2 linked regions of the Canis lupus familiaris genome follow. The protein of the gene in region 1 binds, or shares a complex with, the protein of each later gene. Links are inferred from orthologs where the notes say so. Each region holds a gene or a part of one and is shown on either strand. Other genes may lie near its edges.

Region 1 (3,594 bases):
ACCCATGATTACTCAGTAGTCCCTGCTGTTCTGCTGCTCTTGTCTCTACTCTGCCCCCTCGGAACCAGCCACATCGTTTCTGGCTTCTCAGAAACAGGTTAAGACATTGTTACTAGCCCCTAAGAAGGGAAAACCGCCTGGGAGGCAGTGCAGACATTAGCATTTTCAGGGTCTGTGCTGCTGCAGGGAGCTCAGAGGGCCCAGAGAGGGTTTGGTACCTACCTTGCAGGAAACTCAGGTGGCAGCAGACACAAGTGCACGTGCTAGGCTCGCTTCTACCACTGCGTGTTGCCTCTTCTAATAACAGATACTCACAAGGCTTTTTCAGCCTGCAAACTTCCTAAAAGGCAGTTCCCAGCTAAGGAGTTCCACCAGTGCCTTTTTGGCAGGCACCAAATTTAGCAGGCTTGCTAGCTTTTCATGCCCCGAAGAAGCATATTAAACAAACAAACAAACAAACTTGTTATTGTCAGAAAATTTCAAACATAACACAAAAGTAAAGGATTACAATGGAATCCCTTCTACCCATCATGCAGCTTCAGTGGTTGTCACATTTGCCAACAAACATGATGTAAAGGCAGGGAAAGGGTTAGAAGGCCCACTCGCCTGCTCTTCCATGGGGCAGAGACCTCAGGCTGGCTCCCAGGTCTCCAGCCTGCAGGCAGGCAGCACCCATGGAGAGTTAGCATCTTTGACAATTTACCCTCGGCTGATACCCCTGTGTAACATCTTAATTGCCAACTGATGAAATTAAATGAAAAGAAAATATTTACATTTCCTCTAGGTGCATCTTAACGTGATACACAATTAGGTTTAATTTCTATGACTACCACCATCCTCTCCTCCCCACTCAATGCCAGCTTCTCCCCTCAAGAATCTCTGAGTTGGATGAAGCTGGGCAGTTAAGGCCCAAGGTTCTGCGGTTTGTTGTTGGGATCTCCACAACTTCCAAGTAATCTTGACCTTTCTAGAAACAGGAGAGGATGGAAAAATGCTTTAAGTGTTAAAATATTTTTGGGAATATTGAGTACTTTAAAATATGTGCTCTCAGCTGTTTTTATCTGAACTTCTAGAGTCTCTTCACTCTCTTGTTCAGAACATTTTGTAATATGTGAAACACTTTATAATTAAAGCTCTGAAGTGCAGATTAAGTTTGACATGAAATTGTGTAATGTTCAAATTGATTAATGACATTCTGTTTTGCAGGATTCTTGCCAGCTCCCAGTGGCTTTGTTTATAGAAGTGAAGTGGACCAAATACGGGTCCTTACTGAACCCACAGGCTAAAATTGTAAACGTAACTGCAAGTCTCATTTCATCCCCCTTTCCTGAGGTAGGTCTAACTGGGGTTTCGAGGTGTGGGTTAAGACAGAAGTCCAGACAAAACTCAAGCGTGATAGTGAAATTTATTTTGTGAAAAAGATTACTGAAATTTATTTTTTTTTATTTTTTATTTTTTTAGATTACTGAAATTTAAACAATCTGAATTCTTAAAATAATCTGGCACTTTCTTAGGGAAAAAAAAATTCCACTGACAACAGTTGAATTCACAGTAGCATTTTTGTTTGGAGCTGATCTTTAAAATTCTTTGAAAATGGAGTTGTGGTTGACATTGGTGGGTAGGACAGCCTGGGTAAAAACCCTCTCATCCAAGTGAGCGTATGAGGAGCCCTGCATGCGCCTAGGAGATGGGCTGACCGTGGCCCCAGGAGGGAAGGGAGCACAGGGTATGCCACCTTGTGACCCTGTGCACATGAGCACACACTGGAAGCAGGACTCACAACACTCTCTTTATTACAGACCGACTCAGGAAATGAGAGGACGGTTCTTATTTCCACTGCGGTTACTTTTGTGGATGCGTCTGCACCTGCGAAGGCAGGCTTCAGAGCTCGGCCAACCATCAATGCCAGGCTGCCGTTTAATTTCTTCTTTCCGTTTGTTTGACGTAAGTTGTTAATCAAGGAGACAGCACCGCACCTCCAGAATCGAGGGGCCTCGGCTCCCTTGGAGCCATCCTGAGATTCTACCACAGATCTGCAGGGTTGCCCTCAGACCACACACTTCCCCTCTCCATTCACTCTCCTCCTTTTGGAAATTTTATTCTACTTGGTTGACCTTAGAATGTGGCGCCACCTGGTCTTGGTGATTTCCAGTACTGTTAGCACATAGGTCATGTGCGGAAACCAAATTGAGCCTTTGGGAGGATGGGGAAGAGGACAGACCCTGAAGTAGCATAGGTGTTGAGGCTTTATCCAGTTTATCCGCCTCAACATGAGTTATTTTTAAACTACTTGTTGTAGTTCATGTCCCGTGGAGATAAATACAAAAATAGCAAAATACTGCATATAAACTCATGTGAGTAGAGTACACGGTCTCGTGAAAGGATCTCCCCCCAGTGTCGTCTTCATTACATGGAGTCTTGGGTCTAATTGCTGTTTCTGTGGCAGGCACTGGAGCTCTCCATCTGATGGGCTGTATGGGATGCCACAGAGCAGTTCCAAGCCTTTGATGCTGGAAAGAATAGAGTAGGAGGGCTCGAGGGAAAAAGTTTCTTTTATACGTTAATTGTACAGTAATTGAGAAAATGTTGTCAGGTGGCAGAACAGGGTAGAGCCAGTTAGAAAGCTGGTTGCTGCAGAGAGGGGGCTGGGTACCTGTGAACAACCTCCTGGGGGAATGTTAAAACAGTTTGAAAAGATAAGACTTTTCTAGAATGGGCTGGTAGCCAAGGTAGCTTCCTTTTTTCTTTTGTCTTTCAGAATGCTCACATGAAAAGATGCACTGGTTCCTCATACATGGGAAATGGGAAAGTACATTTGATGAGATTAAATTTTATATACAACTAAAAGTTGTCCAGCTTCGTTGTTCATTTTCAAGCAAGAGTCAGGTGTTCAAAATGAGAAAATATAGTTTGTAATACATTGTGATATGGGGTGAGAATGGGACGGGAAGCTCTTGATCACACCAAGAAAGAGTGAGCCTTCCCTTAGACTCCCCCCACCCCAACCCCCCAGAATCTGAGCTGGGTCGGGGGTGAGGCAAAGGCATCAAACCAGATCTCTCTCCCAGACGGTCCCCAGGAGGGGCAGCTGTCTTTCTTATCAGAGGTGCAAGCCTGTGAGGCAGTCTTGTCTTTGGGACGAAGCAGGTACATGTCTAGTTGACTTCACCAAGAAGTCCATGCTGTCTCAATAGCTTGTTCAGTCTTTCAATTTCTTGTTCCTGTTATTAACAAAGGCAGACAGATAACTCAGTTTTACCTTCTGAACCTTGCCAGGGATGTGGCAATTATTTGATGGGCCCCAAGGATGCAAAGCTGAATGGAGGCTACATTCCTGGTGGAGTCTGCCAGTGGAGCCTGCTACGGTCAGCTGGGGCCCAGTGGGTGACTGCAGTGACAGGATGTCCAGAGGAGGGACACCTGGCATAGCTCTGGGGAAGGAGGTGATGCCTAATCTGAATCTGAAAGGACAAGGAAGACTGAGCGAAGGGTGATATCTGAGCAAAGGCCTGGCGGAGTGAAGCTCTGTGCTGAAGGCAAACAGATGGCATTTTCCCAAAAATGTCTTCTTACCTTCTCAGAGCAGCTGAATTC
Region 2 (3,341 bases), on another chromosome or scaffold:
ACACTTTGTAACTCCTGACTCCCCACCTCCCCCACTGCCAGGGAGAAACAGGGTCCTCCAGCTGCAGTAGCTTCCCCTTCTTGATGTCTGCTTCCCACCCCTCCCTGCAGGGGCAGCGTGGAAGCTCCTGTCTGGCGTGCGGGAGGGCCAGACACAGGTGGACACCCCCCAAGTAGGGGACATGGCCTACTGGTCCCACCCAATCGACCTGCACTTCGCCACCAAAGGTCTCCAAGGTGGGTCCCCAGCACAAGCCCTGGGCCAGGCTGAGGGGGTGGGGGGATGACTAGTGGTGCCCAAAGCCGCTGGGACTGGGAACCAAGTCCCAGCCCTGTTCCCTAGGCCCTTGGGACCCTTTCCTGGCCAGGCCTGGCCTGGGAGAGGCTGAGCTGGGGCCTGCAGACTGGCGCTAGAGGGTATAGGACTATAGGCCAGAGGCCAGGGCTCTGGGGGCCAGGGGGATGAGGGGGAGGTGGGGACCAGGGAGAGAAGGGAGGTGGCTTTCAAAGAGACAAACAAGAATCTTCAATCAGGAGGAAGCGGGGAGGGGTTGTGAGGGAGAGAGGCAGGGCTGCTAGCCGAGCTGTTCTGCAGCCCTGCAGCCCAGCTCAGCTGCTCACAGGGGGAAACAGTATGCGGGGGAGGAAGGGTATCAGAAAACCTTTCCTCGTGGAAAATTTAGATCACTGGAGAGGAGTGGATTCTAGGAAATAGCCTAGGTAAACATGCCATGTATTTTAACAATATAAATAATATTTACCGAGTGTCTGCCTGGTGCCCAGCCTGTGTTGGGTGATGCCAGGGAAATGTTGGTGATTGAGACAGCCGCCCCCTTCATCCCACAGCCCTGTCCTCGCGCGAATCACCATTCCCTTGGGGGAGACAGAGCTGTCCCCAGACAGGGGTGGCCCAGAGTGGGCCCATCGAGGATGGGAGGATCCTAGAGGGTAGGGGAGTCCAGAGGAGATGCCTGACTGCCAGGGAGTTCCGGGAGAGCTTCCTGGAGGAGGGGAGGTTTGATCAGCTTTGCTGAGAAGGGCCAGGAGGAGCTGGGACTGTGAGGCAGGCAGCTGCCCTTCAGCTCTGCAGACCTCACGTCTTCCAGCGTGGGCATCATTCATCCTTGCCTCCTCTTTCCTCAACAGCCCCCCCTCCTCGTTCTGCCCATCAGAAAATCCCTTTGGCTCTACCTTTGAAATGTATCCTAAATCCCCCCACATCTCTCCCCGGGCACCCTGGTCTGCCTACCCTCACCTCTCACCCATGCTCCCACCCTGCCCCCAGAGTCTGTCCCCTGTGAACACCCAAGTTGGGGCACATTCCTTCTTTATGCAGAACTCTCCACGGTACCCCTCTTAGGGTAAAAGCCAAAGCCTTTTTGTCGATCATAAGGCCCTGCACAATCTGGTCTGTCACCTCCTCTCTCTCCCTCTCCCTCTCAGTTGGCTCCAGCCAGCTGGCCCCACCAGGCAGCTCCCATCTCAGGGCCTTTGCACCAGCTCTTCCCTCTCAGGGGCGTTCTTCCCTGGATGTCCATCCACATGGCCCACTCCCTCTCCTCCTTTAAGCATTTGCTCAAATGTCACCTTCTCCGTGAAGCTTCCCTTGCTCACCCACTTTCTAAAACTGCATCCCCACCCCCACCATACCCAGCTTTATTTTTCTCCAGAGCGGTGATCACCATCTGACATACCCTATAATTTGCTTATTTACTACATTCGTTGTCTAGGATGTCAGGAATTTTTGTCTGCTCTGTTCACCACTGTGTCCCCAGCTTCTAGAATAGGGCCTAGAGCAGAGGGGCACAGGAAGGAGGGTGAAATGGGGCCAGATCTCCAGCCTACCAGGTTGAGGACCTGAATGGTGTTCTAAGGACACCGAGAAACCTATGGAAGTGGGAGAAAGATGCTTCCAGCTGCCAGGTGGAAGGTGCATTGGAGAGCCAAGAAGGGAGGCCCTGGGCTCAGAGAGCACAGGGTGGGCCATGGTGAGGGAGGAGGGGAGGTGTCTGGGACTAGGCCCAAAGTGCTCACCTGGGGACTGCGCTGCCCTGATAGGGGGACACTGAAGAAGAGGCCACAGAAGGGAGGTCAGCTGGTCCAGAGGTTGGACTTTCTATGAGGGCACTGGGGAGCCATGGAAGGGTTTTCAGCAGTGGAAGAACAGAGATTCAGAAAGATCCCTTTGGCTGCCTCATGGATGGGAGTCCAGAGAGAAGGCTGGGGCAGAAACCCAGTGGGGAGGGGGCCGGGGGCCTCCATCGCTCCCGTCCTTCCTCCTTCCCTCCCACCCTGCAGGCTGGCCCCGGCTCCATCTCCAGGTGTGGTCGCAGGACAGCTTTGGCCGCTGCCAGCTGGCGGGCTACGGCTTTTGCCACGTGCCCAGCAGCCCGGGCACCCACCGGCTGGACTGCCCCACGTGGCGGCCCCTGGGCAGCTGGCGGGAGCAGCTGGCTCGGGCCTTCGTGGGTGGCGGCCCTCAGCTGCTGCACGGGGATGCCATCTACAGCGGCGCCGACCGCTACCGGCTGCACACGGCGGCCGGAGGCCTGGTCCACCTGGAGCTGGGGCTGCTGCTGCGCCACTTCGACCGCTACGGGGTGGAGTGCTGACCCTGCCTGCCCGGGAGGGGGCCGGGGGCTCTGGACACTGTCGGGTCTGACCCCAGCCAGTCCGGCAGTGGCTTCTGTCCCCACTAGCACCTCCAGCCCGGTGGCCACCCCCTCAGATCCAGTTTCCTTGTCTGTAAAATGGGGACAGTGAGTGTGCGGGGTGGCGGGGGTCAGGTGAGAAGAGGCTGGTTTGCCCTGCAAATGCTCAATAAAGGAGAGCGGTTCTTACAGGTGTGGGTGCCCTCCTGACTTCCGTCACCGGCCAGGTGCCTTGTGCCCTGTCCTCCCACTGACACCCTCCTTCAGGCCCCCACCTCTGACACACCCACTTCCCCTACCCTCTACCTCAGTCTCTGTCCCCCTCCCCACTCTGGGTTCCCCCACTTAGGACCCTGTCTCCTTGGGGGGGGGGTCTCTCCTCTGTGCCCCTCTCCCCCTGGGACCCCGTCTTCCGGCGGACCCTCTTCCCAGCCTTCCCACTCTCGGATCCCCCGTGCCCGGTGTCCCCAACCTCTGATGGGGCCCGCCCGCCAGGTCCTTCTCTCCGTGACCCCGCGCAGCCCTCGGAGCACACGCCGCCCGCTGGCCCGCTAGGGTTGCGCTCAGCCGCCAGGAGGCAGCACCCCGTTCGCGGGGCGGAGCCGGGGTGCCCGCCCCCTCCCCCCGGGGCTTAAGGGACCCCCCTCGGAGCCCGCCCACGCGAGATGAGGACGGTGGCCCGGCCCCCCCA

The links. The genes of interacting proteins can lie anywhere in the genome.
Region 2: TCTN1 (region 1) and B9D2 share a complex: the UniProt entries of both Homo sapiens proteins name them as parts of the tectonic-like complex. The link is inferred for Canis lupus familiaris from reciprocal best matches to the Homo sapiens genes TCTN1 and B9D2.

What each region holds. Positions count from the first base shown.
Region 1 is NC_049247.1:8,665,566-8,669,159, forward strand, and holds part of TCTN1 (tectonic-1), read left to right. Parts: intron 1-1,206; coding exon 1,207-1,332; intron 1,333-1,799; coding exon 1,800-1,943; 3' UTR 1,944-1,944; intron 1,945-2,758; exon of another isoform or gene 2,759-3,155; coding exon of another isoform or gene 3,156-3,221; intron 3,222-3,573; coding exon of another isoform or gene 3,574-3,594. UniProt on the Homo sapiens protein: Component of the tectonic-like complex, a complex localized at the transition zone of primary cilia and acting as a barrier that prevents diffusion of transmembrane proteins between the cilia and plasma membranes.
Region 2 is NC_049222.1:113,410,069-113,413,409, forward strand, and holds the end of B9D2 (B9 domain-containing protein 2), read left to right. Parts: intron 1-110; coding exon 111-236; intron 237-2,297; coding exon 2,298-2,611; 3' UTR 2,612-2,841; downstream 2,842-3,341. UniProt on the Homo sapiens protein: Component of the tectonic-like complex, a complex localized at the transition zone of primary cilia and acting as a barrier that prevents diffusion of transmembrane proteins between the cilia and plasma membranes.